Linked DNA regions of Coturnix japonica. The protein of the gene in region 1 interacts with the protein of each later gene in a biochemical or structural test. Links are inferred from orthologs where the notes say so. Each region holds a gene or a part of one and is shown on either strand. Other genes may lie near its edges.

Region 1 (11,174 bases):
TCACCCAGCACTGGCTCATCTTTAGCCAACCAACAGGCAGGTTTCTCCTGCTGTCACATAAATATTCAGATACATCTTTTACAAATGGATATATACCAATATACACCTACAGCAAACCTTGCTGCAGGGTTTAGGAAATCACCATCTCTTTCTTCTTTTCTCTTCCAAGCTCAGCTCCTCCCAGCAGAAGACAACACACGCTCATACCCCAGCTTTTCAAAGTCCAGCCCCTCAGCTTAAATTCTTGATAAAGACTCAATGTCAGCAGCTGAAGTTGCACAGATGTGCTCATAATTCATCTTCGGGTTTTCCTCCACCAGTTCCCTGCAGTGAGTGACAAATTCCTGGCAAAGGGGGGTCAGCAGACGAGCAAGGAGATAACATCTTCAGTTATTGCAGCAGCGCCTGCAGGAACTCATCCGTAAGCATCTGAAACATCATTATCTGAAAGCAGCACAACTTCCCCACTACCAGCAGTAACATGAGTGCTTGCATTAACCAGCTGCATGGCTAACTGCAGGCTCGCTAATGTGCTGGCTGAAGAAGGGGAGATGGTATCGAGGTAAAACTGCAGGGAGTTGGTCAGCCGTATTGCTGCTCTCCCCATCGATGTCCTGCTGTTGGCCAGGGCTACACTCAAGACCTCAGCACGTACCTTATAATGCCTGAACAGGTCACAGCAGGAGAAATGTCACAGCGGCTGTCAGCAAATATCCTGAGATTTCACATCTCCCTGACACATTCGCCCACCCAAAGCAACTTGTGGTACAGGAAAGAACAAACCATTTCCAGATCGTGGCACTACAGCTTTGTTTCACTTCGGGACCATAAATCAGCATCAGTGTTTGGTTCCCAAATGCAAATGATCAAAGCACCAATACAGATAAAAGCTTTCAATGATATTGCAGAACCCATCACAAAAAGGTCTTATTGCTCACTCACAGAAAGCACTGGCTGACAGAACAGTCTCTTTTCCTAAAACCTTCTTTAATATTCTCTGCACCCAAACATGAGTTTCTCCAAACGAACAGGGCAGCCGAGTGAGTATTTAAGTCTGGAACCATAAATAGCAGCAAGTAATCTAACCAGACTAATCCAACTTTAAACATGTCAGCTGGACTTGCTTAAAGTTGGGCGGCAATCCAGCCAAACCTCCAACACACACAGTGCCAGGGCCAGCAGCACAACCAGCCGCAGTGCTCCCACTCCTATTTACCTGCAGGGCACTGGTGGCTGCTGCTCTGGTGCTGTCAGCAGGTCGGGACCAGCAGAAAACATCCCAGCACGAAGCTCACTTCCTTACTGGGAGATCTCTCCATTTTACAGCACGGAAAGAGTAATGCTACAATGTTTTATAACACGATAAAGCCATTTAGGGAAGAGGATGAGAACGCTGTAAGGAATTAAATAAGAAATCATTAAGCAGCTCCGCAACAACATTCCAAATTACATTCCTTTATACGAAGGCACCCAGTTTGAGAAAAGAAAGTTTCAAGTTTGGAATAAAGTAGTTATTGTCTCTACTTTCGCTGCCTGAGGGAATGTTCATGCAAACTCCTTTTGGAGACGTAATTTACTTCCACCAGGACAATGGTGCTGGCACAGCTCGGACGTACTGAGAGAGACAAAGGCAGCAAGTCGCAGCCCACCCGCCTGCTCTTGGTTCCCACCCCAGCAGCCCAAAGATACCAGCTGTCCATTGCAAGTTCCCCTTGCTCCATGCCCCACATTTCCATGCCATTTCTATCAACAAGCCCCTGTGCAGCCACAAACACAAGGGCAGACCCAAATGGCCGGCTGGCCAGCCTGGCCTCCTCTCACACCAGCACCATCAGTCTGCAGCCAGGACTCTTTCCAACATAAAAACATAAAATGACAGACAGCCCATGAGCTATTTACTACTTTTGATCTGGAGATCCCTGCACAGATAGTCATTGTTTCTGAACACGGGACATAAAACTGTCTGGGTGGCCAATATTAGTGTTGCTATTGATCAGTCAGTTAACTCTGCTGAATCGATCAATACTACATTAGTCATGAAAGGGAAGCGTTTGTGACACTTTTTAACGTATGCCTTCATAACAAGCTTAAGTGTATTGCTTTTAAAGAAACGTCATATTTTACTTTGGACTTGAATTCACTTCATTCTTTAATGCTTTCCTTAAATTACCAGTGAACGTCTGTGAAACAAACCCAGGGCAGCCATTTATAAGCACTTTGCAGATGGGACTTCCCTAAGCTGTTCTAAGTACAGGGAAATGAAAGTGGGGTTTTGGATACTTCCCTGCACCACCTCTTTGCCTTTCTTTGCCTCTGCTAACACAGAAATCAAACATTGCCTGTGAATGCACCCACCTCACATAAACCAAGCACTTCCTCACCACCTTCCTCATTCCTCCTTGACATTTCTGACATCAAGCTCTCCTTCCTCTCGCCCTCCATTCAAATCCTCTACAGATACAATAACAAGCAGCAACCCAACAACCCCCTGCGCTGGGGCTGCCAAGAAGGAATGCCTTTCTTAAGGCCGAGGGATGACTGTGCTTTCCTGTTACACCAACTGCTGCTCTTCTGCTCAAGAACCTGCTTTGGCCATCTACACGTTTCCATGGGCTGAAATGCTACATGATCCTCTCCCCTTTCCTGCTCCTTCTCTGAAACGATTCATTACATTTGAACTAATGCTTTTTCCTTCCCCATCTTTTCTCACTTCCTTCTCCAGCATCAGAAGCCAGACTGCCTTTAACACCCCTGCTGCAGCAGTGATGATAAAGCCATATCGATGAAGTCAGAACAGAACCTCAAGGTTTTCTGGTAGAAAAGCTGCACACTTAGTCCATTTCCTCCCAGCCTTCCCAATTGCATGGGATTTTCCCATATGCAAGTTACCCAGAACAAGAGCAACTCTGAGATCCAGCACAATGAGACTGCAGTTTTCACAAGTACTTCTGGGTGAAATAACAGTATGAGTAAGAAGCACGTAAAGCTTTGGAGTTGATCAACCCTTTGGAACTGCCCCCAGGGAGCAGCGACTGCAGCAGCAAAGAAAGGTTTTAGAGGAGGACATCAGCTAAAAAAGGGATGTGCTTCACAAAGGCCTTTGGACCACATTCCTCCCTGACCCAGAAGAACCTGAGCAGACTCCTCAAGCACTCACAATACCATTGCATTGTTCCCATCTCTTTTTTGAGTCATCTGTCATGGCTGCTCTACCCGCTGACAGCACGGATACAAAGAGACTACGGATATAATGACAAGTCCTACCTTCCTTTGCCTAGAGCTGCTTCCAGCAGTGAGACAAGGCCATAAGCACCCTTGGCTGCTCTATCACCAGCAGTGGTGAAAGCAAAAGGAACCCTGCATATACTTTAGGAGAAAGTGAGATATCAGGTTCATGAGCCTTGAGGTCCCTTCCAACATGGACCATTTTGGGATAGGGAGAGATGAGCATGTTTGAGGACACAGACATTTTAACCCACCACCCAAGTTACCTGCAGTTGGATCTATTGATTTATTTATTTTTCCTTTCTAAACAGAATGTGCCATTTACCATTTCACTTCATTGCAATCTGCATCATGGTAGGACTGACACCACCCCGCACGAGCTGGAAGATCTAATATATTCATATGACTGAAATGCTTTTAACTCAATGCTTGTACAAACACCATGCCAATAAACAAGGAAAATGAGAACAATGCCTTTAAAAGTAGCAAGATTCAACCACCATTTGCTTTTCCTAATGCTCACAGGCACCTTCAGACTGAGCAGTATTGCACTACTGAAAGTAGCTGTGTGAAAACAAATGATTTCTAATCACAGGAAATACAGCGCAGGTAGTAGATCGTAACAGAAGACGTTCCCTGTCTTGAATTAACACCACTCAAAGCTCCCAGCAGCAGAACAGATGAGGAAGCAGCAGCCGCGATAGCTGTAGTGCTTTGGAGCAGGTAAGTCAGCCCAGCAACCTCCAGCCACGTTGAGGATGCAGCATTTCTTAACAACTCCAAAGGGAAACCTCTCCCAGAGCAATTAGTTTCTGATGAAACGCAGCAATTTTTGTCATACCACCCAGGTCACATGCTTGTAAAAACCTAAAATGAGTTTGAGAGAGCAGAGTTCTCCAATATAATTAATTAAAACAACAAAATACGAGTGAGAAAATCCAAGTTGCTCAATAAGCTGCAACTTCAGCCTCTTGCACAAAATGCTCTCAGCCAGGCAGGAATAGCACACGCTAAAAGGCAAAGAACACTTTGACGCTGCATTCGCTCTTTAGAACTAAAACCAACAGCTTCTAAAACCAACAGCTTCTGTCTGTTATTTAAACGATACCTGCCCGCTCCACAGGGCTGCGACCACAGCACAAGTTACTCAACTGCCTGCGTGTTGATGGACTGACTGGCATACAAACAAGGCACGTCAGTGACTGAGTTGGCATTTAGCACACGGCTCCACAAAACTGATTTCAGATCAAACATCGTCTTTACACCCTAAAAATACTTGCAGCCTTCTCGTGTCCGAAAGGATTTTCAGATTGATATTTTCCTTGCCAACTGCAGCCTCCTAAAGCACGAGCAGCACGGGATCAAGGAAGGATTAAAAGCAAACCAGGGTTTTATGTTGAAGAGTCGCTGCTGACTGATTGCAGTGCACACCAGAAGCAAGTTCACCTGGAACTGGAGTTCACCTTGTGCCATTTCTCTTATTGTTTGGCAATATCTCACGCTCCCACAGCCACAGTTCCATAAAGATCAATACCTGTGCCTGGGTCTGAATGAACCACGGCACCGAGATCTCCAAGTATCCACCTGTTGCCTTTAAAAAGGTCAGATCGGGTCTTATTTATTAATAATTCACCCCACAGCCTTAAGAATCAGAACCTGTGCCTCTTCCCATTAGAACAGCAGCTCAGCATTAGCTGGAGCAGCTCTCAGAGCTAATCCAGACCTCGGAGGGTGCAACATAAATTGGTTTATTCATGTGTGCACACAGAGTTGAGGAGACACAGAGTGCAGTCATTCATTGGCACCTTTAGCTCAGGGGAAGGACTGCAGGAGTTGGGTTTGGGAGAGGAAGCAGGAGAGGAGGAGAGCAAAAAGGGAAACAAAATACAGCAAAACAACAGACCCAAAGCAATGAGACGCACACAGAGAGAACAACGGGGCTCTGCAACAAAGCCTACGGAGCCCAGCGGAGGCAAACGAGATGAGAGGAGGGTTCGGACAGAGCGAACCTGAGGGAACGGCGGCTGCACTGCACACTGCAGGGGGCGGGTGGGAACCGGGAACCGAGAGGGGGAAAAGAATAATAATAATAATAATAATAGAAATAACTTGGAAACGCAGCAGCACCGCGGGCTGGGAGCGGGAATGGGGGAAGCGGAGCGAAGGAGCGGGGGAACAGCTGGGCCCCGCCGCCACGGCCCGGCCTCACCGGCGGCCACGGCCCCCCCGGCACACACACATATACACACACATACACACACATATATACACACACAGCCGCCCCCTGCCCACAACCGGCCCCTCCGCACCGAGCAGCGCCCCGGGCCCCTCCCGCGCCGTTATTACCTGTGAGGCGGATCTTGATGCTGGAGCCGTTCCGACGCGTCCCGGGATTCGACATCGCGCCCTGAGGCGAGATCAACCCGCTGCCCCGCTCAACCCCATACGGGCCCGCTCCAACCTCCGGCCGTTCTCCGCGCTCCGATCGCGGCCGGACCCGCCGCCGCCTCAGCCCGACCCGGCCCGGACAGCGGCTCCGCTCCGCCTCAGCGCCGCCCCGCGGCTCGGCCGTGACGTCAGGAGAGGCGCCGCCATCTTGGGGAGGTCGGGGATGGAGGGGCCGAGTGCTGAAGGAGGAGTGCAGCGCCCCCTAGTGTGTGGGAGGACCTACAGAACACAGCTGCACTGCTAGGCCGCAGCAATGTGTTCCACACAACTCCAGTCATCACTGAGCTTATCACCGAGATACTCTTTGGTCAGAAAAGTTCATCTCAATGAAAGGTAGAAACGCTCTGGATTAGGAAAGTAAAGCATCACCAACCCAGCACGGCACCCATAGACGCTTCGCTTTCAATCCAGTGCTGCAAAGGTGAAAGAAAGCAACTTACCTGTAACAGCCTCAAATAGACATGCAGGAAAAGCACTGACCTTTCCCTTTTTAGCTTGCTCTCAGTCAGCAGAACACCAGCACGCAGCAGCCCTGTGTCCAGGCTCAGGAAGAGCAGGAGCCCAGCTCCGGTCCACATCTCCATTTACACCGAGGAAGCATCAACCTCAGGCTCCTTTTACCCACTGAAATCCAATCATTTCCAGATGCTGCCTCAGCAGCACACTGTAAGGTGGTTCTGGCAGCAGAGCCCCCAGTGCTAACCCACAGCACAAAGGAAGGATGCACACAGGCACTCATCTCCAGAGCACACTCAGGTTTTGTGCTATTCCGATTTTCACTTCATAGTGTCAGATCCAGGAAATAAATCGACTCCAGCACTTCAACTACACTCAGCAAGCTCAGGGCTGTGCACCTTGTACAGACCACAGGGGCTCTGCTTCCTTCTTTCTAGGCAACCTGGAGGAGAAATACCCTCTATCCTGCAAGGAGGCCCAGGAGACACAGCACAAACACAAAGGCCAAGCAGGGTTCAGTTCCTTCTTAACAGTTAACAAGAGGTTACACACTGCAGGCAGGCAATGTCTCACACAGAAAACACTTCCAAAAACTCCAATATGTAATTTTCCCATATGTTTAAGGAACCAGAGAGCTGTGATCTTCACCACAGCAGAAGTATGAGAGAAAAGGAATAGAGGCAAGAAGTACAAATCCACAAGTGCAATTTATTACTAAGTTCCACCTGTAAAAGGGCTATACATCTCTACTCCCCTTGGTCAGGACACCCAGCCTCCACCCACCAAGTCAGAGCTGTGCAGTGCTTCAGCCTTTGAAGTCTTCACAGTGGAGAAGCAAATTATATACCCCTTCCACATCCATTCCAATGCTGCAGATCAGGAGTCTCCTAGGAGGAAGTTCACAGCCATCAGTTAATGGGTCTGCATCTTTACTTGCTTAAACACTGCAGGCAACTTTCAGACGTCAGCTCTGGGGTCTGTCAGACCACTATAAGCCTCTACTTTGGTCTTCCCTAATCTGTAAGAACAAGGCTGGCTCCAAATACGGACTTGTGACAGTTATGGAATTCCCTTAGGACTCCTTGCTGAGGTCCTGTACTTTTCTCACAAGTTTAACACAAGAAGAGTCAAGTAACCCAGAAGGAACTTGAGCACAGTTATCAGTGAGTAGGAGGCTGCCCTTCCTAGCAACAAGCCAGCCAGGAAAGAGGAAGCCTTCTCACATTTGGAATGCATATCAGCAATTGCAGTGATGCCAGCTGATGCCATTGGAAATTCCAGCAGCAAGATGCTATCAAAGCATCTCTAATGCACAGCAGTCAGCTGACAGATCAGGGTTCTATAGACCTCTGGAAGGTAAAGGGAGTAAGCTATAAGAACTACCCCATTCAATTTCAAGAAGATACCTAAGGACTTATCTCAGCATCTTTAAAGGATGTGCTCCGCTTCGACACACAACAGTTCATTTTCTAATGAGCAGCAGCAAGAGCTCACATACCTCACCAGAGAAGTACTTCTCTATGATATTCAGAGCAGCTCTATAGACCATGATGTTGTCATGGGTTTGCAAGGCTTCAATTTTCTCCAGACCATCAAGTTCTTCCACCAGCAGACACAGCCTCTCTGTCTCTCCCAGCTTCTCAGCTGCCTGCAAACAACAGAGGCAAGTACAACCCATGTCAGTAATGGGGTCAAGGTGGTTCCTGCCTAAGGGCCAAGTGACTGCAGGTAGGAACACAAGGGTCTGCACTGTGTTCAGAGATGCCTAGAATATGACTGTAGTATCAAACTACAATATATCAAACTGTCCCTGTTTTTTCACTATATTGTGGTTTTGCTGCCAACCAAAACACCTCCTGAACCCTTGGGAGACCCCAGCACCATCCAGTTCCAAGACCTTCATTTTCTGTATTGGCTCAGTGATTAGCACACTGTTTCTCCTTTAGGAAAGGAGAGGATGCACTCTGGAACTTCATGTCAAGCCCTTTTGGCAACCCAAAAGGACTCAAGAACAAGTCAGGCATGAAGTCTAACTCACTCCTGCAAGACTAACTGCTGGGGAGGAGCTGCTTCAGCTGCACCTGCATCATGCGAGCATCCCTCTCACTCCTCATTACTTATTTGGCAAAAGGGATGTAAGATCTTACCAGGAATAGATTTGAAATCGAATCCAGGATAACCAGGATAGTTTTGGTGTCTCTGACCAAAAGCAGGTTGAGCAGAGGCTTGAGGACCCCAGACTGGACAAGCTCCACCACCTGCTCCACAGTGCCACCAGTTGTCAGGTTGGCCACTGCCCACACTGCCTCCTTCTGGGCCCTGAAATCCCCCTAGAAGAGCAACAGAAAAGGCATTCCCAGACTTTAGCATCCCTCAGAGCAGGCTGAGATGTCAGGCAAGGAGAGCCACTCCTTGTACATAATGCAGACTAGTCTGCTTTCCTAGCACTGCGTGGACACACAGCAGAGCTGCCAAGACCAGCTCCAAGCTGTTTCTTTGTGCAGATGTATTAAATACAATGCTCATGCTGCTCCTCAGATCCCAGCAGCTTCACAGAACACTGATCAGGTGGCTCTTGGGCACAGCACCTCACAACAAAGCTGCACAGAATGAAGCTGAGCACTGCCCCACATGCACAGAGCTATGTCCATCCCCTTACCTTATCAAGCAGCTCCACCAGAGGTGGCAACAGCCCGCAGGTGATGAGCTGCTGGATCTGCTGGCAGGGCCCAGCTGCAATGTTGCTGAGTGCCCACGCTGCCTCCTTCTGTATAGCTGACTTCGTGTGTCCCAGGAGAAGGGGCAGGATAGCCAGGACACCAGCATCAATAGCTGCCTGGGTCTGCTCATCAGTCCCTGTAACCACATTCCCAATGGCACGCAGAGCTGGAGTCTAGACAGATTAGAGCAGATGGAGATGAGAAGTCTTATCTCAAGGGATACACACCAGAAAAACCAGCAAGCACCTTCACTAAGTGCCTGAACCTTCATTTGAAGTCCCATGGATGATTACTGCTATGGTTACAGACCTACCTACCAGCCTCCTGTTCTGATCTAAGCAGATTTACAGGCTCTTCCCAGCCACAGCAAGAAGGAACATAGCACTGGCTTGATCAGCAACAAGCAGAACCACAGAGTGAAGAGGCAGCAGACCACAGACAGCAAGGAGCTGCTCCCTCCCTCTCCCCAGATGTCCCTACGTTAAAGGCCCAGAGATCAGGAACTGACAACTGCTCCTTACCATGATGATAATCTCAGGGCTGCCCATGAGCTCCACCAGCCGTGGCAGAATCCCTGTATCCACCACAATCTGGATACGGTCATTGGAGCCATCAGTCAGGTAGGACACAGCCCAGCAGGAGTCAGAGACAATGTCCTTGTCCTCGTGCTCCAGCAGGCAGGTGATGACAGGCAGCAGCTGCCTCACTGCCTCCAGGGGTGGGTATGGGTTCTTATTCCTGCAGAGGTTTGACAGAGTCCATGTGATGTTCCTCAGGAAGCCAACCTGGAAGATGAGGAAGCTGTGAGATACTTGTTGCTGAGCCCTCTGGTGCAACCAACACTGCTCCACAGCAGCAGATGTTATCAGCCAAGAGCAGCCTCTTTAATAAGGGCTGAGGCTTGTTTGAAGCAGAGAGATAAAAGAGCAGACCTCCCCTCCTCCAGTATTAAGTCCCAATAACCTCAGATCTGATGGCATGACAAGCCACTGTGACTAACAAAGGCATGAAACAGCTCACTGCCAGGTCCCCAGGACCAACTACAAAGCATTCTTTGGACAAGACCAAGGGTGTTACTTTAATATTAGCAGCCCAGCATCACAGAGAAGGGTTTGAGTTCCCTCATCCCAGTGAGAAGAGCAGTGGAGCACCATTGTCACAGGTCCATATTTGCAGCCCACCTCACAGCACTCTGAGAAGGTTCTTCTTCCCCTGAAAGCTGTGGGGCAGGAGGGCAGGGCACAGCAGGAGAAAGCAGGAAGGACAAGTTCTGCACTGTGCATGCATATGCAAGTCTGCTGTGCACCAATTGTAACTTACTCCTTGCTTGAGATGGTCAAAGCTGGATGGAAAAGCTTTATTTAAATCACTACATTGACTTAAAACGCATCTACCTGGCATCTTGTTCAGGGTTAGGCTCATTAAAAGCAGTTTAAACAAGAGACCCATCCAACTGACCTAACAGCTGGTTATTTGTGAGTCATGTCACCATTCACCCATTACCCAAGTGAACAGGAGTGCCAAGTCAAGAACAAGAAAGTTATTTACTGGAGTTACAGGTGACACCAGAGCCAGCAAGGGAGGAATCACATTGCAATTGATAAGAGCATCTCTGTACAGAGGACCATCACCTGCACAGATAAAGAGGGTTATTTATGATACATATTTCAGTCACAGACAGGCAACATCCAAGAGCAGCCAGAGGCCCCACTACTAATGATGCTGGTGGGTTGGACCAGCCCAGCAAGATGCACTCTTGTGTTTGGCTATGGCCAAAATCCTCTGCAAGACCAGCCCAGGGTTGGAAAGGCTGCCAGGCCATAAGAATAGCAGAACAGAGCTGCAGGGAGATGGGCCCCATCTCAAGGAACACCGCTGTTCATCACCCCAACAGTAGCTGGGGCAGTGACCATGTCCTAACCCAGCCCTGCCTGGGGTCCCCACTCACCTGCAATGTTGCCCAGTGCCCACACAGACTGCTCACTGATGTGCATGTGGGGGGAGGACAGGAGGGAGACGAAGGCAGGGATGGCCCCTCCCTCCACCACTGCCCTGGTGTGCTCTGAGGTGCCGGATGCGATGTTGGTCAGTGCCCAGGCTGCTTCAAACTGCAGAGCAGCATTGTCAGAACGGGACAGGAACTCAACCAGCCTGGGGATGATCCCCAGGTCAACAATCTGATTGAGAGGGGGGTCCTTCTGCGTGGACAGGATCCTCCTGTAAGAGGGCACAGCACAATTTATAACCATAGGGATCCATCTGCATAGGATACCATCAGGGCCCTGATCTAGCCAAGAACAGCTAGAAAAGGGAGCACTTCCAGCT
Region 2 (9,765 bases), about 6.4 Mb from region 1:
TGGTGATGTGCCCAGGGGTGGTGGTGGCACGCATTGGGGTGGTGGCTGTGATGGCCGTAGTGGCAGTGGCAACCCCGCTCCGTGCTCAGGCCGCATGGACGCCGAGGGCATGGTGCTGTGGATGCAGCGCCGGGCCGGGCCCAGCGCCACGCTGCTGCATGATGCCGACACCGCTGCCGCCTTCATCAGAGCGCAGGACATCGCGGCCGTGGGCTTCTTCAAGGTGGGCTGGGGCCGGGCAGGGCTGTGCTGTGCTGTTGGAATGGCGGTGCTGATGGTGGAACCATGCAGGACCTGCACAGTGCGGCGGCGCGGGCGTTCTATGAGGTGGCTGAGGAGGTGGTGGAGGTGGTGTTCGGAGTGGCCGAGGCGGATGAGCTGTTCAAGGCGTACGGGCTGTCGGCCGACACCGTCTGCCTCTTCAAGAAGGTGAGTGGGGTTGGGGTGGTGGGGCTGCGGCGGGGCCTGGTGCTCACTGTCCCACACCTGGCAGTTCGATGAGGAGAGGACGGATTTCCCCGTGGACCCGGAGCAGGGCCTGAATGTGGCCGAGATGACGCGGCTGCTCCGCGTGCACAGCCTGCAGTTGGTGATGGACTTCTTGAATGAGGTTCGGCTGCTGCCCTCCCCAGCCCTGGTGTGGCTGCAGGGTGCCCAGCCTCTCACCCTCCTCCTCCCTTACAGACCTCCGGACAGATCTTTGGGGCCAAGATCCCCAACCACATGCTGCTCTTCCTCAACACCTCTGTAGCCGAGCAGCAGGCACTGCGGGATGAGTTCCGTGCGGCCGCCAGCGCCTTCCGGGGTGAGGTGAGGTGATCCCATGGCAAGCAAGGATGGGACCTGGGGGACCACAGCCTCAGCACTGCCCATCTCCCCCTCCAGGTGCTCTTCGTGGTGGTGGATGTGGACGGGTACGGTGCCTCTGTTTTGCACTTCTTTGGTCTGAATCCCAGTGATGCGCCCACACTGCGCCTCATCAAGATGGAGAACAACCGCAAGTACCGCATGGAGGCAGACGCCTTCTCAGCCACGGCCATACGCGACTTTGTGCGGGCAGTGCTGGACGGGAAGGTGAAGGTGAGCAGATGGGAGCCTGGATCTGAACCTGGCCCCAAACAGGTCCCAGCAGGACATCCCTGCTGTCCCCACAGCCCCAGCTGCTGAGTGCAGAGCCCCCCGAGGACTGGAACACGCGGCCCGTTAAAGTGCTGGTGGGGAAGACCTTTGAGCAGGTGGCATTTGATGAGACCAAGAACGTCTTTGTGAAGTTCTGTAAGTGCTGAAGTCCTGTTCCTGAGCTGCATCGTGGGGCTGAGCCCCTCTCCATGACCTCTCCTGCATCCCCACCCCTCGCCTACCCCCGGTGCCCCCAGCCTGGCTGTGACCTCCAGCCCTGTGCCCGTCACACAGATGCTCCGTGGTGCACCCACTGCCAGGAGATGGCGGCTGCCTGGGAGGAGCTGGGCGAGCGCTACAAGGACCACGAGGACATTGTCATTGCTGAGATGGATGCCACAGCCAACGAGCTGGAGAACATCACCATCAGCGGATACCCAACACTGCACTACTTCCCTGCTGGGCCGGGCAGGAAGGTGGGCAGGGACAGGTGTGGGGAATCCCTGGCACTGCCAGCACCTGGGGAAGGTCAGGCTCAGATGTCACCCTGTGTCCTCCTCCTGTCCCCCGGCTCCAGATGGTTGAATATCGGAGTGCTCGAGACGTGGAGACCTTCTCCAAGTTCCTGGAGAATGGAGGGAAGCTGCCGGAGGAGCCACCCACGGTGAGAGAGGTGCCCCATCCCTGGGCAGGGGCTGCCACCCAGGGCACAGACCCTGCAGGACACGTGGGATGGAGACAGGACACGTCCATCCCTGCCTCACCATCACCTTCTGCAGGTGTCCATGGCCCCAGAGAACAGCACAGAGTCACCGAGCTCATCTGGCACAGCCGAAGCCCGGGAGGAGCTGTGAGTCCTGTCCTGCTGCAGTGGGCATTATAAATGACCCTGGAAATGATGCGGGCTCTGTCTGTGTCTGTGGGATGCAGCTGACAGCCATGTCATGGGGCACATGGCACTGAATGCTGCCTGCTTGGCCTCCTGGGGACACAGTGCAGCTGGTGGGTGCCTCGATGGGGGTTGAGCCCACTGGGGTGTGCAGGGCAGTCGGTCCCATGGTCAGCTTGGCCTCAGGCACCCATGGCACTGAGCATTCCCATGGAGGGGGTGCTGCCTTTGCCTTCCTGTGATGCTGGACCCAACACAGCCCTGGGCACGCTGTGATTCTCGTCCTTCTGTCCCTGCAGTGTCAGAGTGCTGCAGGCAGCCCAGGTTGGCCCTTGTGCTGCCCCAGGCATGGGGCTGTCAGGGTTTCGGGGATGAAGGAACCACAGAAGGCTTTCAGCTTCATGGCCCCAAGGCCTCCTGCCTCACACCTGGGCTGCAATAATGCAGAGCTGCCCCAGGGCTCCAGTCCCAGCAGCTGCTTTCACACCCTGGAAAGGCAGGAGTAGCCCCAAATTGGGCTCTAAAGAGCCCTCTGGAGCCTTTCCAATGCCTGGCTCACAGTCTCAGTCCCCAGCACCATCCCCTCCCCCCTGAGCTGCTGCTCTCCAGCCATAAGCAATGGCTCTGGGACCCCCATGCCCACCCTGTGGGCAGCCCCATTTGTGTGCCCATGGCCCTGGGTCAAAGCAGAGCCCTTCTGTCTGCTCCCATTCTCAACCCACTCCCACGTCTGCTCCGCGGGGAAGGAAGAAACCAGAAGGCACCGGGATGTGGGGCTTTATTTCATTTTATCCAAGTACCTTTGAAAAGATCATTGTACAAGTCAGCACATGAGGATGCACAGGAGACACCAGCAGGGCTGCACGGCCGCTGGAGGATGCTGCGCTCAGCAAATGTACATATTTACAGGGAACCCCCTGAGAAAAATAAGGGGGAGACGGAAATCCCAGGCATGGCAACAACCTCACCAGACACAACACCAGCAGAACTTAAAAAAGAGGGAGGAAAAGACGCTCGTAACACTGTTCCCTGGTTGAAAACGATTGCAGATTTTGCTGGACTTCACATAGTGGTAGGCAAGTCACAGAACCGTGTTTAAAGGCACGTGACGCTGTACAAGAGGCTGAGTTGTCACCCAGCTACTGCGAACCGCCTGCAGGCAGCCGGGTTGTGCCCCAGTGCTGCAACAGCAGTGAGCAATGGGGCATGTGGGCAGGCAGGGTGAGTGCTGATGTGGGACCCCCGAGGAGCTGGAGCTGCGGGCACAGGGTTTGCCCAATGGCTGGTGCAGGGCTGCGGCTGCTGGGGCACAGAGCACAGCCTGGGCTGGTGGGAAGGGCAGGGCTGAGGGCAGGTGGAGCTGAGATCAGACCCATCTGCACCCCAGTAGTTGCCCCTTACAGTGACTGCAGCATTTGGGGGACCTGGCTGTACAACAGCCCCTCAACTCCTTTGCTGCTGGCTTCAGACCCCTCACACTGCTTCCCCAGAGACAGAACCTGACAGAAGACACCGGATTCATAACACGATGGTTTCTGTCCTCAGACTGGAAGTGTCTCATTGGTTTCCTCCCTGAACTACCCCTCTCCTAAGGCAACACCCCTGAGCAAAGCCCAGCCTTGGCACTGGGGTCTGCACACAGCTGCCAGCCCTTCATTGGGGCTGCAGCAACCTCCAGGAGGGAACGTCTGCCCCAAGAGCAGGCACATGTGGGGGACAAGCACAGGGCATGGGATGCCAGTGTCCAGCCCCGCAGTGCTGAGCAGCAGCTGACCCTCACTGGTGGCCCACAGCCCTGCCCTGGTGGAAGGCACCACAGGAAGCCTGCAGCACCAAGAACTGGCACCCACCCTCCCTTTCCCTTGGGGATTCACTTGGTCACAAGAAAGCTCAGGAGGAAAACCACCCCTACCAGGTCCAATAGCTGCGACTGCCAGGGAGGCGAGAGCTCAACTCGTTCAGAGTGGCTCAATAATCTTCAGTGGGGGCCACTCTGGAGTGCAGCAGTGACTTCCACAGCAGCAGGGACAGCAGCTTGTCGGCTGGGTGCACCCCAGCCCAGCATTGCTCAGAGCCATCCACACTGAGGGGGCAGGGAAGGGGGGCTGTGAAAGCGAGGACCACACGGAGTCTGATGGATGGCTGTACACTTTGGGTGCGTTCTGCAGTACCTGCGTGTTTTTACATTTACATAAGAGCACTGTGACATTGGAAATATTTTCCTTTTATTACAATATATCAAAAATATGCAGCTTTAGTAAACAAGTTCATTTTACACTTTCTAATGCACTGTACAATGCTACATTACACTTATATTCCGTATGGAGAGGGAGCCCAGGCTCCCACTGGCAGGTTTGTGGGGGTGAAACGACTTCCCATGGCACAACAGAGCTTGCCCAGGTCCTGGCACAGAGTGGGCTGCACCGTGGGCTCGCCCAGCACCTCCTGGAGTAGCACCGCCAGCGTCTGCCCCAGACCTTCTCCTCCAGTCCCAGAGTCTTTCACAGTCCTTTCCTGCAGCCTTGGAGCCTAATCGATCTTCTCCACCTTCCCAATGATCTTCTCTTCGAAGATGGGCAGGATGGTGTCGTCCTCCCGCACCTCCTCGAAGACCACACCGCAGTCAAACTCATCACTCACTTTCTTAAAGTAATACCTGAAAGGGAAGGAACACGGGGACACAGAGGGGTTAAGGGCCACGTGGGACATCACAGTGATACCCAAACATGGGGGGCAGCTGTGGCTGTGAGCTCATGATGAATGGGAGCAGCCCCAGCAGACATGGAGGCTGGCATCCACCCCTGCCCTCTCCTAGTGAGGGTAGTCAGAATGCAAGCAGGCATGTTGAGAAGCAAACTGTGATGCAGGATATTTCTGGAGGTAGGACTCCAGATGCAAGTCTGAGTTCTACCCTTATTTAAAAAGCACATTCCTGGCTCACTTTGGGACTTACTTTTCTAAGTGAAAGGAATGTCCACTGGCAACCAGATGCTGCCACAACCCTGCAAGGCTGCTGAGAACCCCAGTAGCTCCCCTGACCTACCTCCTTTGCCTTGACAGGATCAACATCCTGGTGGTAGCAGCTGCCAGGGGGTGCTGACAGTCTGCTGGCACCACACTGCAAGTGGCAAACAGCCCTTACCTGTAGTTCCCTTTCTTGGTCAGCAGCTCCTTGAACTGTCCCAGTGTCACCACGCGCCCTTTGACGAGGGTGCGATATGGGATGGGCTCTCCACAGAAGTAATAAGCGACCACGATGTTCTCACATGGCTGGGATGCTCCGCTGCCTGGTCTCTTCTGGGGCTTCAACCTGTTGTACAAAATCACAAGCAATGTCCTGAGTATCGGCCTATGGTGCTTGGCACAGACTCAGCATCATCGGCAGCACTGGGTGCTGGTTGGGGTGAGGGGCTGCCCAGGCAGGGGATGCAGGTCCAGACCTTCATTTATCTGCAGAGAACTGGAGCCTTTCTGTATGGAGGTGCCAAAGTAACACTCAGGGCCCTCAGGAAACATCTTTTACTCTGACCACCTTTCTTGGCATACATCTGTGCACTCAGGCTGGTGAACAGCACTTAGAAAGGCTGGATGGAGGCCAGCTCATAGATAGGAGGAACAGGGCACAGGTTCCAGCTCAGCCCCTTCATGCTGCAGAAACCCATCCCAGGGACAGGCTTTGAAGTGGCTTTCCTGCAGCACTGAACTCTGAGAGCAATTGGTTTAGGCAGAGCAAGGCAGAGCATCACACACCCACTGCAGCCAACCAGTGTCACCACCGGTGTGCACCACTGTGCTTGGGCTTCAGGCTTCAAGGCTTGCTACCTGGACCTCAGTACAAGCAGTGCTTCGGTGATGGCTCCCAGGGCTCAGTCTGCAGGAGAAGCCTTCATATCATAGACAAGGAGAAGAAAGTGCCATCCATATCAGCTAGCAACTCCCTTTGTGAAGCATTTGGAGTTCTCATGTGCAGCTCTGGGATGTGCCAAACCCTGTGTGCTTTGCTGCTCACCCCATCCTGTCTTGCTCCATCATGCAAGGCCTGGCTGGGCTGCAGGCTGGATTTTGGAAGGCAGACACCATCCTCAAACCTCCAGTGAGCAGACCTGGAACCTCTCACACCTTCCTGCCTGTCGGGATGTCGGTCTGCTCCTTCCCTCCAGCCCACACACTGGCATTTGCTACTTGGTGCCATCACCAGATTGAAAGTGTCCAGTCCTCGCCTCATTTTCAGAGTCAGACAAAAGTAGCAACAATCAAAATAAGGGCACTTTGCACTTGTGTGGAGCCTTTCATCTGGGGCGCTGTAAATGCTGCACAAACATTTGAGCAGCCTACACAAATGCGTTGCTTGGCATGTGTGGTCTCAGCCAGAGGCAGCCTTCTCTTTCAGAATCACATAAAACAGATTTGGCAGCTTTAAAATCATTTAAAAGGCACACGGGGTAAAAGGGAAAAAAAAGGAGAAAAAAAAAAGGATGATTTTGTATTTATAGGACTGGAAAGTTGCTATAAGAGCAGAATACGCCAAGCACATGAGCTAATGGCAGTGTTGGAAATGGCTGTGACCTCAACCTTTAAATACAGTCACAGCACCTTTGTAATGGCACGTCCACAATAACATTGGCACTGCAAACCAAGACCAGGGAGAACTCTGTCACCTCTTTCTAAAGCCATGAGAGGTCTAAAGTTCAGCTCATAATGCTCCTGGTGCCTGCTCTGCTCTGGAGACCATTGGAGAAACTGCAGCATCCCAAGAGGTGATGGAGCTCCTTGTGCCAGCACAGCTCTTAGAAGCCATCCCTGTATCAAAGCACAGGATGCCCTTTAGGCAGAAAAACATTAAGGAATTGAATCATCCTCTGGAAAAAATAAAAAATAAAATCATGTGTTTAAAGGAAAAACGGGTCATAAATTCAGGCAAATTCTGTGTATCCTGTGAGCCAGGAGTTAATTGAAGGGGTTTGGAAAACCTCAGAGTCCCTCAGCTTCTCTTAATGCTGCTGGAAACGAGTCATGACTATGAGAGAGCTGCTGGTGCCCAGGGGAGCTGGCACGGAGGCTGGTGGGGATGCAATGACACACGCTGTGCATGCAGCATGGTGCTTAGGCTGCTGGAGGGCAGCTCCTTGGTCACTGGGGGGGCAGGCAGGACTGTCACAACCAACACCTCGAGCTCCCCAGCTCTGCCATGATAAAGCCAGAGCAGGATTGTGCCAATGGCTGGGAGCCTTCCTCCTCCCACTGTGTAATTTGTGCCTGAAAAGCTGCTTTGCAGCCACCTCAGACTGGCTGCTGTGCTCCTCTTCCCCAGGCTCAGAAAGGGGCTGTGGGGACCGTGTGGCTTCTGGAAAGCATGTGAGGGAGAAAGAGCCGCCTGGTTCTTTCTGACAGGACCCCAGGAGGCCACCAGTGATGGGACAAGAGCCAAAGGTTTGGTGCCTCCTTGCAGGAAGGAACATCACCCTTTAAAGCATCACAGAATACACACACGTCCCCAGATCTCTAGCAAACTGAAGCAGGGATGATGAATAAGGAATCATTGACAACACAGTTTTCCAGACATTCCTCCCCTGAGAACATGACAACACAACCATCTCTGCTGCCATCATCGCACAGAAACCTCCCGAGGCCACTTCTAACCCAGATGGGCCCCTGCTGAGTGTGCTGCTCCATCACAGCACGCCTGAACCCTGCCTCATTGGAGCCTCCATCTGCACCCATCCCCTGGGTCTGCAGTGTACCCTCTCCATGAACACACACAATTAACTCTCTGTTCCTTCTTCTGGCCTCAGCTCCCTTTGCAAAGTTTGTCACAAGCAGGAAATGTTACCCAGCAAGATAAATGCAGTGCTGACTGCCTTACTGCACCTTACCCTGCCCAAGGAGCCTTGAGCTGGGGAGGCAGCCAGATCATGGCAGGGGTGGGACTGGGGGGGGGGCTGTAAGGTCTCTTCCAACCCAACCATGCTGTGATTCTATGGTTCTATGACCAGCACTAACTCAGCCTGTGTCAGAGCACAGACACAGCCCAGCTGTGATGCTGCCATGCCCAGCACAGGGGAGGTTTGCTCCATCCCAGCCCTGGGGCCAAAGAGCTGTGGAAAGCCTGAAATACAGCCAGCAGATGTTACCTCAGGAGGTGTCCCAGCATCCAGCTCTGCTCCTCTTCCAGGCCTGGCCCAATCAAACTAATTCCAAACCAAGCTCACGCTAACATTTTTGCTGGAGAGACTAGAAAATTCTTTTGCTGCTTACGAAAATCTCTTCTCTGCAGAGCTGCTACTAATTACTTCTTCCAGCTGGAAACGTATGTGCACTGTGACAGTGAGCTACAGAAAATGGCTCAAAAACTGACTGCACAGGCAAGCAACCACCGGGACAAGGCTCTCCACCAACACAATGGGCACAAGAGGTCAGGTCAGCCAGCACTGGACACTTCAGCTTGCATAGGCTCCCAAAGATCAATGGCCCAGCCTCAAACACTGTGAGGAGGCAGCACAAGTGTGAAAGCAGAACGGCCCAGCGTGGCTCAGCCTGTTCTCCTGCTGGTCTGAAGGGCACATACCACAACGCCATGGGGTTTCTACAAAAGCTGCCAAGTTGTTATTAGAGTATTCAAGACACATGCATAAAGCCCAGGCTGGTGTTTCCCAAGTGTGCATCTGCACCTAGACGTTTCTTGGGAAGGTGTATGAATTTAATATGACTATAAATGACTCCACAAATAAACCTTATCCAATTACACCAAGTGAAAGTTAGATCAAATAAGCCTGGCCCAAGCCGACGTGGGAGAGCCCTCTAATTATTTAGCTTCCAATCAATGCTCTGATATAAATATGCAGAAGTCTGCTACATGACCACTGCAAGCACAAATAATTGCAGCTCAGCAATTAGAGGAGCTTGTTCTTTAAATTACACTCATGTTTCTGAATGTCAGACTCCAAAGTTTAGAGTTTTCAGAACACAGCTATAAAGCAATGAAGTGACTACAAGCAATTCCCATTGTGAAAGGTTTTTAATGGTCAAAGTGCTTTTAGTTCTTAACAGTAATTATCAAGCACTTCCAAAATGTTTTTCATCTGAGAGCTCTGTGTGCCTTGCAACTAATCCTCCCTGAAAGATAATACGGGAGCAGAAGAATTAGCTCTGCAACAGGCATTGAGCTGAGTCACAGGAAGCTGCAGTGACTTGGATACAGGCATGCAGAGAACAATACTGCTGCAGCAGTGTGCAGCGCTCCCCCTGAGCTGCCACAAGCTTCCTTTGCTGGAAGATTGAATGAGATGTAGATAAAGAGCACATACATATTCTTCTGCACTTAATTTTGCTGCATTCTGCTGAATTTTGCCACTGCACCAACCAAGAACTCTGCAACCAGTGTGTGAACGAACCACGAGTGTGCTGGTGAAGATGAGGTGAGTACAGCAAACCGGACGCTGACTAGTTCTACAAAGAGCGCTCTTCCCTCTCATGCTATTTCTAAACAGGCTCCACCTGCCCAGGCTCATTCAGAACATTTCCAGACTTCCAATCCACAAAACTCAAGCCCAGGCCTTAAGGCAGCTTGTGGCATTTGCCTGTCAGAAGCCATGTCAGAGAGAATGAGGAGGCTTCCCTGACCTCTCTGCAGGTGCCTCCACTCAGTTAGTGCTGGAAACTGGAGCACAGCACCTCCCATGGCTCCCCAGTCACAGAGCAGCCTCCCCCCTTTTCTCCCATGCATACTCAGACCCCATGGCCATACCTTTGTTTCAGTG

What was found. The genes of interacting proteins can lie anywhere in the genome.
Region 2: of the proteins of SMURF1 (region 1) and AXIN1, one has a biochemical effect on the other in vitro, tested with the Homo sapiens proteins (2 studies listed by BioGRID, with this or other methods). The link is inferred for Coturnix japonica from reciprocal best matches to the Homo sapiens genes SMURF1 and AXIN1.

What each region holds. Positions count from the first base shown.
Region 1 is NC_029529.1:4,354,755-4,365,928, forward strand, and holds the start of SMURF1 (E3 ubiquitin-protein ligase SMURF1), read right to left. Parts: upstream 5,785-11,174; 5' UTR 5,627-5,784; coding exon 5,572-5,626; intron 1-5,571. Other genes in the region: KPNA7 (importin subunit alpha-8), read right to left, coding at 6,969-7,016, 7,628-7,777, 8,277-8,459, 8,789-9,022, 9,371-9,634, 10,398-10,480, 10,798-11,066. UniProt on the Homo sapiens protein: E3 ubiquitin-protein ligase that acts as a negative regulator of BMP signaling pathway. Mediates ubiquitination and degradation of SMAD1 and SMAD5, 2 receptor-regulated SMADs specific for the BMP pathway.
Region 2 is NC_029529.1:10,802,533-10,812,297, reverse strand, and holds the end of AXIN1 (axin-1), read right to left. Parts: coding exon 9,753-9,765; intron 5,319-9,752; coding exon 5,151-5,318; intron 4,665-5,150; coding exon 4,538-4,664; 3' UTR 4,212-4,537; downstream 1-4,211. Other genes in the region: PDIA2 (protein disulfide-isomerase A2), read left to right, coding at 90-223, 292-429, 494-610, 685-810, 886-1,080, 1,155-1,275, 1,414-1,595, 1,697-1,783 and 1 more. UniProt on the Homo sapiens protein: Component of the beta-catenin destruction complex required for regulating CTNNB1 levels through phosphorylation and ubiquitination, and modulating Wnt-signaling.